Diceros bicornis minor: one gene and its partner. The protein of the gene in region 1 interacts with the protein of each later gene in a pairwise test. Links are inferred from orthologs where the notes say so. Each region holds a gene or a part of one and is shown in the gene's direction. Other genes may lie near its edges.

The links. The genes of interacting proteins can lie anywhere in the genome.
Region 2: the proteins of SAT1 (region 1) and HOXB9 interact in binary tests that used the Homo sapiens proteins (3 or more experiments, as listed by UniProt). The two-hybrid records come from large-scale screens. The link is inferred for Diceros bicornis minor from reciprocal best matches to the Homo sapiens genes SAT1 and HOXB9.

Annotation. Positions count from the first base shown.
Region 1 is NC_080781.1:19,985,710-19,993,334, forward strand, and holds SAT1 (diamine acetyltransferase 1), read left to right. Parts: upstream 1-4,588; 5' UTR 4,589-4,776; coding exon 4,777-4,842; intron 4,843-5,111; coding exon 5,112-5,163; intron 5,164-5,253; coding exon 5,254-5,337; intron 5,338-6,725; coding exon 6,726-6,827; intron 6,828-6,917; coding exon 6,918-6,958; intron 6,959-7,074; coding exon 7,075-7,245; 3' UTR 7,246-7,600; downstream 7,601-7,625. UniProt on the Homo sapiens protein: Enzyme which catalyzes the acetylation of polyamines. Substrate specificity: norspermidine = spermidine >> spermine > N(1)-acetylspermine. This highly regulated enzyme allows a fine attenuation of the intracellular concentration of polyamines.
Region 2 is NC_080757.1:37,350,210-37,357,389, forward strand, and holds the start of HOXB9 (homeobox protein Hox-B9), read left to right. Parts: upstream 1-4,160; coding exon 4,161-4,677; intron 4,678-7,180. UniProt on the Homo sapiens protein: Sequence-specific transcription factor which is part of a developmental regulatory system that provides cells with specific positional identities on the anterior-posterior axis.

The DNA of each region.
Region 1 (7,625 bases):
ATCAGAATTTAGATAATTCAAGCTAGAGTGAGCACATCTGGAGAGTCATTCATATCTATATTTTCATGTAATGAGGATCTGAATTTAGAGTGTTTCTCTGGCTCCAGATCAACAAAATTTCACCTCTGCTTACCTAGCAATTTCCCTTCTAGGAATCTACCTAAGGAAACAATCAGAAACCCGGGCCAAAACTTGGGTGGAAAGATGTCCATCAAAGAATTATTTATCATTGGAAAAAACCTAAATCTTCAACAACAGAATGGCAAAATAAATTGCACACAATGGAACTCTAAAGAGCCATTACATTTTTTTAATGTAAATATACGTAATGACACGGGAAACTATACTATAATGTTAATAGTAATAATGCTAACAATTATGTCAGGTGCTGTGCTGAGCACTTTACATATATTACCTCATTTAATCCTCAGAACGACTAACCATGTGAAAGATATCATTATTATTTACTTGTTACAGATGAAGAAATGGTGACTTAACAAGGTTAAGTAACTTGACACAATCACATAGATGGGGTGTGGCTAATTCCAAAGCTGTAGCACCTAAGAAGCCACTACACTATTCTGCAGGATACAATTTATAGATATATATGATACCAATTTGTTGTTACTACACACACACACACACACAGGTGACTTTAAAAATATTTTAAAACGAGTACAGCAAAGCACAGACCAGTCAGAAGGGACACTACAACCACTCAGAATGGAAGCCAGGTGTAAATAACCAAAATGGCCATCTAGTTTCAGTTAACCTTTGCTGTGTAACAAACCACCCCAAAATTGAGCAACTTAAAACAACCATTTTATTGGCTCATGATTCTGTGGATTGATAACATGCGCTGGGATCAACAAGGTGGTTCTTCTGTTAGTCTTTCCTAGAGTCACTTGTGTGTCTGCAATCATCTGACAGCTCAACTAGGATTGGATGGTCCAAGATGACCTCACTTACGCACGTGGCTTTTGGTGCTGGCTGTCAGCTGGACCTTTCTCTTCATGAGGTTTTTCATCCTCAAGGAGACTAGCTCAAGTATCTTCACATGGCAGCAGCAGTGTTCCAAGAGGGCATGAGCAGAAGCTTTACAATCTCTTGACGTCTTGCTTAGAAGTTGTATACCATCACTTCTACTGCATTCTGTTGGTCAAGGCAAGTCACGAAGCCAGTCCAGATTCAAGGAGTGGGGAAATAGACTCTACCTCTTGATGGGAGGAGCTGCAATGAATCTGTGCCATTTTTAATCCACTACACTGTATATACCAACTGAATATCAGCCCTGCATGTATATGTACATAAAAAAAAGACTGGAAGGAAACCAACCTGTTAACAGGGATTATTTTTATCTTTTTATATTCCCGCACTTCTCCAATTTTCTTAATCAGTAAGCATTACTTTCATAAACATAAAAAAAATTTGACATCTTTCATAATAGTTTAATAGGGCAGGTTGGACAGCTTCACTTTGGCACCGAAATCAGCCGAATTCCTTCTCCCCCAGCTCTACCACTTCCCGGCTTTGGCAATTTTGTAACCCCTCTGAGCCTCTGGTTTTCTCAGTCATAAAGACGGAGCTAACATTACCTATTTCACAAGACAGTTGTAAGGATCAAATGCGACAATGAATATAAAGCACCCACACCCACCACGTGCCTTGGCAGAGACATGCCTTGGCGATTTCCCTTCCTCCTCTCCCCCTACTCAGACCTCCTCAGTTATAGGAATTCTCTTTCTCACAAAGATTAAATTCTGTTTAGTAAACTACACACACTCTCTAAAAGTAAACTGTATGCCCTGAGGGCTGGTTTCAAAACTTAGTCCTCCTTTATAACCCCCAAGTACCCAGCACAAGACTCAATAAATATTTGTTGATTTGTTGACTCATTAACCAAATAAAAGTTTTCCAAATGCAAGGCAGTTAATCCCTTTTTATGCAGTTTTAAATCTAAATTCCAGTATCAAGAGGGGGTAATGTTGCTTATCCATTGCATCTATCTATTCATGACAATGGAAAAGCCTAACTTGATTCACTGCCATGAAGAAAACTCAACTTTCTGAGGGTTCTAAGCTTCTACATGTGCACAAACACAATCACAATGAGCTTTCGTCAGCCATATGTTTTTCAGAATAGGCTCTTCCTTGTCATAATGGCAAAGTTGAACATAAGAGCATGAAACTTAAACTGGAAAAACAGGATAAACAGAAAAAAAATTATAATGCATTTTAATGAAACAATCATTATTCTAAAAAACTAAGCAACCCAAATTGAAAATGGTCTTGTTTTTGCTTCAATGAGGCAGCTATCATTAGTCACAGAGGTCTAATTTACTGTTATCAGTAAATTTGTAACAAGCTCTCCTTCCGCCTCCCACAAGTAAGACCAAAGCAGAGGAGGGAAGGGCCTATGAATGGTCATCAGTGTGTCATGGTGTCAGGAAAGACACTACCTGGATTAGGTAGATGAGAATCAATGCTATTTTTAAAGATCTTTGAGAAAGACACTGCTTAAACTCCCACCGGACGGTGACTCACTATGCATGACAGCCCCAGAGGGTGGGAAGGGTAAGAGAGAACCCACTTTTGCTTTCTTTTTTACATACAGGATATTGCTAACAAAGGCAGAGAATCACTTGTTGAATGTTGGGGGAGGGGGGTGGGAGTGGTCATTTGGTGATAGTCCAATCTCTCATTCCACAGAAAGAGAACGCTGCAGGCCCCTTTTATGCTTTCTCTTTGACTCACTCCGGAAACCAGGCAGGACCCTAAGGAAGGTCTGTCTGGAAAGGTGGGTTGTAAAAGAAAACTATATCTGTCAGAGGCTTGAATACTTGTTCCAGTGGGTACAATCCAGGAATAGCTTTACCTAATCCAACTCTTCTCAAACATTTTGCTCCCAGGACATTTAAAAACTATTGAAGAATCCAAAATGCATACCTTCAAAAATTCCAGAAAACATTAGAATACATAAGCACACATTCCTTTAGTCACTAAAGCAATGATGTCATCACACATCCCGTAAATTTATAATTATTTCAAAACAGAAAGTTAAAAAAAAGGGAATAAAAAGAAGCACAGAGGATGGAGCAAGTAGGGATTACAACAGCAGCAACGGAAGCCAGAAGATAGTCAGATATCATCAATATGCTGAAAGAAAATAACTTCCAATCTCAAATTCTGTCAGCAGTAAAATAAATCCTTCAAGAATTTTAAGATGAATTAAAGATATATTTAGACAAGCAAAACAGAAAATTTTACAAAAGCAGACCTTCACTAAAGGAAATTATGGAGAGTGTAACTCAGGCAGAAGGAAAGTGTTTCCACAAGGAAGGTCAGAGATTTAAGAAAGAATAAGAAGGGACAAAAGTAAGAAATAAAACCTTGTGTTAATTCTAAAAATTATAAGTACAGGAGTCCCCCCTTATCTGCGGTTTCACTTTCTGCAGTTTCAGTTACGGTCAACAGCAGTCTGAAAATATTAAATGGAAAATTCCAGAAATAAACAATTCATAAGTTTTAAATTGTGCGCTGTTGCGGGTAGCGTGACGAAATCTTGAGCCTTCCCACTCTGTCCCGCCCAGGATGTGAATTATCCCTTTGTCCAGTGTATCCACGCTATTTATGCTACCGGTACCCACCCCTTAGTTACTTAGCAGCCATCTCAGTTATCACATGACTATCCCGGTATCACAGTGCTCGTGTTCAACTCACCCTTATTTTACTTAATAATGGCCCCAAAGCTCAAGAGAGAGCAGTGATGCTGGCACTTCGGATATGCCCAAGAGAAATTGTTGTTAATTTCTTACTGTGTCTAATTTATAAATTAAACTTTATCATAGTTATGTATGTATAGGAAAAAACATAGTATATACAGGGTTCAGTACTATACCCAGTTCTAGGCATCCACTGTGGGTCCTGGACTGTATCCCTTGCGGATAAGGTGGGACTACTCTACAGGCGGAAAACTTATTGAGGAATCCAAATAACTTACCTTAGGAAATTCTGTAAAACACAAGAGTACACAAGCACGCATTCCTTTAGACATCAGAGCAATGACTTCATGACACAACAGGTCGCCTCTGGAAAATTCCAGCGAGAGTGAAAAAGGCAAAGGACATCTTACTATTATTATGGAAGTACTTTTGACACAGACTCCCTGAAATGATCTTGGGACCCACAGGGCCCCCGGATCACAATTTGAGAATCGCCTCTCTATTCCCTTCATCACCCAAGGCCAGGTCTGAGTTTCCTTTCCTGACGGGTCAAGGAAGAAACAGCAAGGTCACTGGTCGGGGGCCACCAGGGGAATTGCTCTCTCCCTTTCGCAAAGGTTACTGGAGGACACGTAGGCTCCGAGGTCGGGCTTCCGGGAAGGCTCCACGAGGCGCCACTAGAGGGCGCCGCTAGAGAACCCCGCCGCGCACCCCGCCCACCCCACCCGCTGGCCGGGTTCACACGGACGCCCGGAGGAGAGGGCGGCGCCAGGAATGGGGGGAGGCGGGCGCGGCCTCATTGGACGAGGACCGTCCGCCTCACGGCCGGGGGCGGGGCTTCTCCGCGCTAAAAAGCAGAGCCGAGCGGCGGCTCGAACGCGCAGCTCTGGTGGCAGTCAGCTGGAGGTTTTTCGTCGCTCACCGAGGTTCGCCGGGTCATGGTGCCAGCCTGACTGAGAAGAGGACGCTCCCGGGAGACGAATGAGGAACCACCTCCTCCTGCTGTTCAAGTACAGGGGCTTGGTCCGCAAAGGGAAGAAAAGCAAAAGACGAAAATGGCTAAATTCGTGATCCGCCCGGCCACCGCCGCCGACTGCAGTGACATCCTGCGGCTGATCAAGGTAGCCGAGGCCCGGGCTCCTCCCGGGGCGGGGTGGGAGGTGGGCGGCGGCTCCATTTCCGGGAAAGTCCGCGTCTTGCGCAGGTTCCCCTTTCTCCCCCGCCTCCCCAGCCCCAGCCGGGCTGGGCAGGGCCGCGCCGCTCAGCTCCGGCCAGACTCAGGGAATGAATCGCCACCCCGCCCCGCCCCCTCCTTCCCTCTGAGTTATCCGGGCCGGGGCCTCACTTAGTTTTCTGCTTCTCTCCCTGTCTCCTGTGTGCATCGCCCCAGGAACTGGCTAAATATGAATACATGGAAGAGCAAGTAATATTAACTGAAAAAGGTAATGTATCAGTGGGGGGCGAGGGACGAGCGTCCAGTACCTGTCACCTTTACCGAGGCCAACACTGTCTGTCCCTGCTGCCCCTTGCAGATCTGCTAGAGGATGGTTTTGGAGAGCACCCCTTCTACCACTGCCTGGTTGCAGAAGTGCCCAAGGAGCACGGGACTCCGGAAGGTAACCGTCCTCCCGTTTCAGAAGCCAAAGAAACCAAGTGTTGTGTAAATCGTAGTGTCTGCTGTGTAGAGAACCACTTACAACACAGGCCGAAGTTACTAAGAAGTTGGCCAGAAATAATAGCCAACCAGTGTTCAGACTACTGAGGAAAAAAAATAGATGTGCGGCACTTAATAATAGGGCGGGTTAAAAGAGCTGTTTAAGTAAGTATCAGAGTGCTGTGGAGACCCGGAAGAGTTAGGTATAATGTCATTTGTTGTAGTTCAGTTTCATAAATGGTTCTTGTTTGACCCTAACGTAACCTTTTTTGTAATTGTTAAATCACATTTTTTTCTTTAATTTGTCCCAATCTTCAGGTTACAGTCTCTAGCTTCGCCATGTACATGGCCCTTCCGTGTACATGGATGGGCGGGGAGGTAACTAAAAGATCCTTTACACAATAAAGTAGATGATCATGATAAATGAGGTAAGGTCCTATTATCACACACTTAAAACACGGTAGATCAGAAACTCCATTGTACTCGCTTCCTGTCTGTGTTTGCAAAGGACTATAAAATGGCTAGAAAGTTTAATTTGAAACCTTTGCCTCCAGTTGGAATTACAGACACCCATAAGAGGATGTCACATTTTGTTTTGTTTTGCTGGTCCCTGTTGACTGGTCAGAAGATAGCGCTAAAAGGGGAAGTTGTTGGGGTGGGTGCTTAAGTTTTTTTCTGACATCTGTTCCCCAAGCTAGAAGAAATGAGCAGAAAACGTAAGGGGTGAGGTGCTTTTTAGAGGGATGTGGATGTTACATAATACCTGTTTCTGGGTATCTCTGCTTCTTCTGGCTTAAAAACTGGGGAGAGCAAATTGAAAATGTGTGAATTGGAAGGCAAGTTCTGAAATTAAACGTTGCGTTTTTTGGCCTGATGTCCTGACCTTAAGGAAGCAGAGTTTCTAAACTACAAATATTTACTATTCTGAACTGCCGTGTAAACCTGACTTATTCCCAAGTCAACATACCAGTATATCAATAGGATGTGAATAATGTGTGTGTTTAGTTTAAGACCATAGCAGTTTCGCTCTGGCAAATAATGAAAGCATTCTCGCTTCCTGAGTATGAGATCCAGCAGATTGCAGAGTGGCCAGTCCACAATTTAAGCCTGGCTTCAGCTAGCTCTAATGTGTGCTTTTTGCAAATACATGTTTTGAGAACAGTGAGATCATCCAGCAGTGGCCTGGACTGCACTAGCATAAAAGTCAAGAGACAGTCTGGTTCAGTGGCTACTTATTTTTATAATACATGCATGTGTATTTTTTAAAACCTATGATAGGCCTCTGATTTTGCAGCTACAACTTTTATGGATTACTTTTCATTCACATCTCATGTGATACTCTTATTACAGGACACAGCATTGTTGGTTTCGCCATGTACTATTTTACCTATGACCCATGGATTGGCAAACTATTGTATCTTGAGGACTTCTTCGTGATGAGTGATTATAGAGGTATGGTTGAGTTCAGGGGGAAGCTCTAAAGAGAATCAGGTCTTGAAGTCTTTAAGATGATTTTTTAAATGGTACTTCTCTTTCTTTTAGGCTTTGGCATAGGATCAGAAATTCTGAAGAACCTAAGCCAGGTACATTTTGATTTTTGGTTTCTGAATTTGTAAGAGTTATTGGATTATTTTAATGACTGAATCAAAATTGGGTCTTGGAAATGTCACTGAGTTTGTTTTACTCTCCCATATAATAGGTTGCGATGAAATGTCGCTGCAGCAGCATGCACTTCTTGGTAGCAGAATGGAATGAACCATCTATCAACTTCTACAAAAGAAGAGGTGCTTCTGACCTGTCCAGCGAAGAGGGATGGAGACTCTTCAAGATCGACAAGGAGTACTTGCTAAAAATGGCAGCAGAGGAGTGAGGAGTGCTGGTGTAGACGATGACAGCTTCCATTCTATTTTAGAATAAATTCTCAACTTATCTTGCTTTCTATCCTGTTTGTAGTGAAATAATAGAATGAGCACCCATTCCAAAGCTTTATTACCAGTGGCGTTGTTGCATGTTTGAAATGTGGTCAGTCTGAGATGGCAATCTTGTATGCAGTTCGGAGTCAGATTTCTCCTTGAACATCTTTTTGATAAACAACTAGGTGGTGTGATCTTAATGTATATGAAAAAAACTTCATTCTTGTGAGTCATTTAAATGTGTACAATGTACACACTGGTATTTAGAGTTTCTGTTTTGATTCTTTTTTAATAAACTACCCTTTGATTTAATTGCTTGGTGTAAGCATTTTTACTA
Region 2 (7,180 bases), on another chromosome or scaffold:
CGACAAAAAAGTCACAAAATTTCATGACCTTCATGGGCCAATTTGAGACATTTCCTTCACCTTCCAGAGAAATATTTTAGAAGGAAATTGTAAAAGAATCCAGATTTAAGTCACATGCGTTTGTTTGAGGTTTCGGTATATATTTTGCTTGAATATCAAGTCAACAGGCAGATTTTCAAGTGAAGCTTCCGAATCAGCTGATGTTTTATAGCCACAATTCAAGTACACAAATACTTAAGTTTTTGCCCTTTCCATAGGTATGTGATGGTTATAAAAATGTACACACAAGCTTTTGGGTCATACATCTTCTTATATGAGCAGAATTGTAAACCCACATCACTCACAGCGGTTATACACGCGTCTACGTATGCACCATTAAAGATCTTACATACGAACGCCCAAGTACATCAGTATTATAGCTGGGCAGATTTTTTTATTACATATTGTATACACAGCATAGAGCACAGCCCATTTGCACACTGGGCTCCCCATAAAGAAATATTGATTTGAAATATCCATATAGGATACACACATCTATTCAAATACACCATGAGTAAATTTCAGCTTAGCTTATCAATTAAAAACAAACTTTTTCCCTTTTCCCATTTATTGTTTTTCTTTTTTTTCTTCTCTCTTTCATTTCCTTCTCTCCATCTAGATTTTCTTTCTTTTCTTAACAGGACCCTTCCGAAAGCCATTCCTTCCCTCCATCTAGATTTTCTTTCTTTTCTTAACAGGACCCTTCCAAAAGCCACCCCTGAAGCACAGGGACTCACCGGCTGGTCCTGGCCAGGGTCGGCCTCTGCTCTCCCCACCTCGGCCTCACTCTTGGCTGCTCTGGGGCCCAGTGTGGCCAGGGGCTGCAGTTCTTCCCTGCTTTCCCTTCCCCGAGCTACCAGCTCCCCGCCCCAGCTGTGTTCAGGCTCGGCTCCTGTGCAGGGAATAGGAAGAAGCTGCGAGGGAAGGCAGGGTTTGTCCTTCTTTCTCTTTAGGATTGGGAGTGGGGTGGGGAGCAGTTTTGCTTTCTCAGGACAAAGTGACCCCCACTGAAAGAAGCCCTCTATTAAGTATCTCTAGAAGCGGGGCTCCAGAGTTCGCCATCCTGTTTGCCTCTCTCTGTTGTGGTGGGTACCATTGTCGAGGAGAGAAAACAAGGATTTTGGAGGGTCCATAGGCCCTCAGAGCACCCAAACAAGGGGCTCTCTCTCTCAGTCGACCCTTTAATCATTTGCCTGAGCTGGAGTTGAGCTCCAATTGGGGGCAGCAATGCTTTCTAGAAAGCCTAGTTGTGGTGGCACTCATTGCTTGGTGCATCCACGTCCCCACCTGGAGGGAGATAGGCTGGGGTGCAGATTCCAGGGCTAGGGGGCTAGTTCATTCTCTTCCCTTCAGAGTCACCTCTTCTGAGAAGACTGAGACCTCTAAAACCTGGCATGTTGAAATTGTTCCCACCCTACAGCTTCCTTCTGAGCAAAGGCTGAGCTCTGCTCTCAGAAAAGAGGCTTGAGTCCCCGCCTCACCCAGCACCCAGGAGCCACCAGAGGCAACTCAGACAGACAGATAGCAACTCACAAACCTGAACCCTGTTTGCTGGGTGAGTCTGCTGTTATAGGGCACAAGCCATGAACCCAAATAAATGTTCTTCCTCCTCTAACTTCTTCCCTCAACTAAGTGGCCCTCCTGACTTCTCTCTTGTTGCAAAGAGAAGCAGCCGCAAAGCCAGGGCCAGGAGTGGGAACCAGAAGGGCTACAGTCAGAGCCCAGCACCCGCACAGCCTGGGTCTTAAGAACAGCCCAGCACTGTGACTTTTTTATAAATAAAAATAAAAAAGTCCCTGCCCACAGTCCCCATGTCCTTTTGAGCCCTAATTTATATACTACAGAAAGTCATATGCTCAGCGCGCCATGCTTCATAACACCGTTATTTATGGCAGGAGAGGTTTTTTTTTCCTGAACGATATATTTATTATAGGTAAAGCCAACAGCAGACTCCATGCGTCTGGCAAATCGAGAACAGGTGCCTTGCCTTAATTGTGATTCATTCGCTCTGCGCCCAGCTTTCTCGCTGGCGAGTCCGGGGAGCTCCCTCGATTTTCCCAAGCGTCCAACTGCTACTTAGAAGAATTTGCATCAGACTTTTGTTTCCCTACTTGGGTCCCAGGGAAAAAGCAGATCTTCACGCTGTTTGGTTCCCGATCTGCCAGGCTGTCGCCCTCGGAGAGCTGGGATGGAAGAGGAGGGGGCCGGCTGGGCGCCGGCATTGATCTTTAAAAAATCATTTTGAAATCGCCATAATGTGAAGAAATATGGCGCATCGCCCTCGTATTTCACACGTAATGACATGAGATGGCTTCATTTGGGAAGAAAAGCGGGCGGAAGTGTGTCTGTGCGTGTGCGGAGGTGATCCGCAGCCTTCTGCACGGCAGAGGGGTACATGGCCCAAAAGATAAAACCTCTAAATAGAATGGCCCCGCTTTTGTTAAAAGGACCAGGCTGGGGGCAGCCTGTCTTATCAGGGTTCAGAGTCGGAGAATGCCGAGAAAATGCGCCCCATCCTGCCCCTAAACCCAACCCAAGGAGAATCGGGTCTGTGCAGAGGCCGCGCCTCCGTGAGCGCCCACAACACGCAAAGCGGCTGCACCCAGGACAGGAGCTGGAGGAGCCGCCGCTGGGAGATGAGCCAGGAAGCCAGCCGGTGGTCCCGGGAGAGTCCCAGCAGGGCCGAATAGTAGATACTAATAAAACCGGCTATTTGGAAGCTCCAAGGAGAGAGTCTGCAGGAGGAGAGGCGGCAGGAGGGCAGGAGACTGACCCCGCAGGCTCTCCATCTGCGCTGGTGCCCAATACCGGTATTTGGAAATCTTTCTGAACGGCAATGCCGGGGTGATAGGAGCCGGACAGGAGAGGCGAAATCTCGGACGCGGCTCCTTCCTCACTGGGTGGAAGGGAGATAACTCGGGGCCTCCTCTCTGCTGACACCTCAGGGAAGTTCCCTTAACCTTTTCCCACATTCAGCTCCCCCATCTGGGCACTTTTAAGGGCCTGGCCTGTTATTCAATGGAGGAAAGGAGAAATGGCTGTGCCCCTCGCCCCATACTTCCTCTGGCCAGGACCAGAGAGAGGCCCAAGAAATTTAAAGGAGCTTTGGCTAGTCGTACTAAACTCAGAGGCTCGGCTTTCCAGGGCCTGCTGAATCTCTTTAATCTCATGCAGGCTCCAATTCTGGGACAGCTAAATTTTAGGATAGGATCCCTGGACACTCACTCCCTTTTATCCTGTTCTCTCTTCCCTCAGCTGCTGAGGTATCAGGAGAAGCTCTCATGCCTGTAAACCTCCCCAAATAGTTACAGAGAGCCCCCTCCAAAGGGATAACGTCCTATAAAACCTCCACTTCTCTCCCATCGCCTTTACTTCATCTCCAGTGGATTGCTGCTGCCCTGTTGTTTAATAAACATCTTGTGTCAAGGGGACAGAGAAGAGGAAACCAGGGCCTACAGGGTGGAGCGGAGGTGTTTGTGGGGGGACAGGACCACCTCCTCTTTAATTATGCTGTGGGCCTCTCTGGCTTCTCCCCAGACTGGGCTCTCTCCCTCCCTCTGCCCTGCTCTCCCTTTCTCCCTCCCGGACCTGCCCGGGGAGAGGGCTCCACAGCCTGCGTCCCTCCTGAGGCAGCCCGCTGCTTTCCCTCCGCCTCTCCTCCGCCCCCGCCGCCCCATGTCGAGAGCTCCCCCCCCTTCCTGCAAAAGAGGCGGGGGACCGGGCGGTCGGCAGCTCAGGCTGAGGTTACGTGGCCACCGGAGCCCTGACGTGATAGCACATTGCATCAGCATAAAACAATCCATCCTCGATATGGAATGCGGTGCGGACGGATGACAGCGAGAGCGCAGCCCCCTCGCCCGATTGATTTATGTCGGAGCTGACGCTTTATCAGGCAGTCGGAAAAACTTTGACCAATCATTTTGCAAGGAGCGCTGAGCCGGGCTGCTCCACTGTACTTTGTTGGCTGAGAAGTTGAGCAGGGGGTGGGGGTGGGAGGGTGGGGGGCTGGGGGGGTCGCGTCCGAAAGCCCTCACACGGGTCTGGGTGCCACCTCTCCCTGCCTGGGCGCCGCCGCGCGAGCGCTTCCCTTCCCCCTGCGAGCGCCCGGATAATGTCTGAGAATGTCCATTTCTGGGACGCTTAGCAGCTATTATGTCGACTCGATCATAAGTCACGAGAGTGAGGACGCGCCTCCAGCCAAGTTTCCTTCCGGCCAGTACGCGAGCCCCCGGCAGCCGGGCCACGCGGAGCACCTGGAGTTCCCCTCGTGCAGCTTCCAGCCCAAAGCGCCGGTGTTCGGCGCCTCCTGGGCGCCGCTGAGCCCGCACGCGTCCGGAAGCCTGCCATCCGTCTACCACCCCTACATCCAGCCCCAGGGCGTCCCGCCGGCCGAGAGCAGGTACCTCCGCACCTGGCTGGAGCCGGCGCCGCGCGGCGAAGCTGCTCCGGGGCAGGGCCAGGCGGCGGTGAAGGCGGAGCCGCTGCTGGGCGCGCCTGGGGAGCTGCTCAAGCAGGGCACGCCCGAGTACAGTTTGGAAACTTCGGCGGGCAGGGAGGCCGTCCTGTCTAATCAAAGACCCGGCTACGGGGACAATAAAATTTGCGAAGGAAGCGAGGACAAAGAGAGGCCGGATCAAAGTAAGTTATAAAAAGTGAGGAAATACCCAGGCCGAAGGCCAGGCGAGGGGGAGGGGAGAGGAGAGGCAATAAACTGCGGACAATGTGAAGGGAAACCGCGGCGGTGGCCGGAGAGCGAGCGGGGGCGGAGGGAAGAGGAGGAAGGAAGGGAGGACGCTGGGTGTCTCAGAAGGCGAGACTGATGCCACTGGAGGAGCGCCGCCCCCACTACCAGTCCAGGGGGGAATTGGGGCGCAGGGACCAACGCGCTGCTCTCTCGGCCTCCCTTCCCCCGCTCTCCCGGAGGCCAGGGCTGAAAGACCGGAGAGGGGCTGACGATGGCCGGCCGGGAGAGGACTGGCGGGGTCGGGGCAGGCTGCCAGTGAGGCCGAGAGTCTGCGCGGGCAACGGCGGAAGCGCACGGGGCTGCCCGGGACCGCGCGGCTGGCAGAGCTCCCCGCGCCACGCGCAGACCGTAAAAGCCGGCCAAGGGGAAGTGGGAGGGGGCTCATTAGGATTTTATTTGCGATGCAACAGCTTGGCGGAGGATCCTTCCTAGCAGATCTCGCGCAGTAGCCGCTCAGGGTCCGCAACCGGCGCCGGGAGGGGCGGGGGAAGCCCAAGACCCGGTGCCTGAGCCCCCTCCCCGGATGCGCCAGCCCCTCCCCGGGAGTCTTCCCTCCGGCCGCCCCCTCCCCTCCCTGGCATCCTCGCCCGGGTTGCCGCTTGCCCTTCTGCGGCCCCTCGCTGCTCGCCGCGGGCCTCCTTAGCCCCAGCCAGAGCTGTCCGCCTCGCGGGGAGTCGGGGAATCGCTTCCGAACTTTCGGGCCGACCGCCGGGGTGGAAAAGGAGAGATCCCGCCCGAAGGGACCCTGGGGAGAGGAAGGGTGGGAGAAGAGAGGCTGCTGCGAGTCGGAGAACTTTACCCTCCGACCACAGTTTCTCATCACCTCCACTCCTCCGAAAGCACCCCCGCCAGGAGCCCAAGTCTGGCTAATTTCCAGGAGGTGCTGCTCACTGGGAGAGTGGTCTCATATTTTTCGTTTTTAAGGTTGAGAAGGGCAAATTGGTTGGGGGCTCTTAGCCCCAAACAATAACTCTCTGGCTCGAGGAGACAAATCCTCACTTCTTACTCTTTTGGGGGAGTGAGGTTCTGATTTTTCAGTCTCTGCCTGCCCTGCCAGATTTCCCACCAACAGAGTGGCCCACAGTCCCTGTGGGGTGTCCTTGCCTGCCGGAGGCTAGAGAGCTGCCCCACTCCCCAGAGGTCCCTGCAGGGTCCCACCACCTCCAGCCTACCAGGTTGAATCACAAGAGCTGGGTTTGGGTAACAGGGGCTCTTCCAAACCCTCCCTGCTCACACCCAAACAGACTCCCCACCCCAAACCCCCAAACTCTGCCTGGAAAGCCCATTATTGCCAGGCAGCGGTTTGGCTAGGATCAATTATTAACAGATTTTTTCCTCTTTCATATTTAATGCGGCTGCGGGTCCCATCCCAAGCAATCACATTCAGGAAATAGCGCTGCAAGTTGGTAAGGCACAGTACTTAGTGTAGGATGAACCAGATTATTTAAAAAAAAAAAAATGTTCAGTGCTTTTCATTTGATGAGAAAGAATCTAGCAGAAGATGGCTATTATTTTTAATTGGCTCTGCTTTATTTGGCAACTTTTCTGAGTTCCAGGGTAGGGAGAGAGATGGTAAGGAGAAGAGAAGCCTGTATGTATTTTTGTTTCCTCTTTTTTTCTCCCCTTCCACTCAATTACCCCTTTCTCTGTTCCCCCTCACCACATGGAGCCAGTTGGAGTTCTGGCTGTGTTGTGAAGGGCTTTCCCCCCACATCATCCATGGCTCCCCACCTTGGGACTGGAGCAATCTTGCTTCCCAATTTCCCTGAACTTGCTTTAACAAAACTGCGAGCTGAGCAGGAGCGGAAAAGAAGAGACTATTGCAACCATAAGTTATCTGTGAGCCCCCGGCGCTCTCTTGTCCATGGGCTGGAGTTGACAAATGGTTGCAATTGGGTTGCATGTGAATTGGAGTGTGCTGGATGTTTGCGTCTCTAAGTGCAGACCCATATTTGCGGTGTTTGTGTGTGTGGGGGTGAGATATCTACACAGACACACATGCCTGGTGCCATGTGGCCAAGAGACACAAGTTTGTGGTCAAGGCAGGGTGTACTCGGACTGGACTGGAGGGCCAGGAGGTCTCTTGGCTGTGGCTGATCGGAAGCCGCTCTCCCCCAGCCCAACCCTTCTCTCAGCTCCCAGAGCTAGAGCCTGGACCGGTCAGGTCAGCCACCCCTCATCAGTCTGGTGGTGCTGGGGGGGGGGGCTTTAGCCATGCTGGGCTCTGACCTGAGTCCTAATCAGTTTGGACCCAAGTGGAGAAAATGAATGAGAGGAGCCCTGAGGCAGGCAAAGCCCTGGAAGTGCTGAGAAGCATGGGATGTGCTTGACTCCATCCTGTCCAAATAGCCTCTCACCTGGAGGTGTCTTTAGCAACTCCTGGCCCATTTCTGGGAC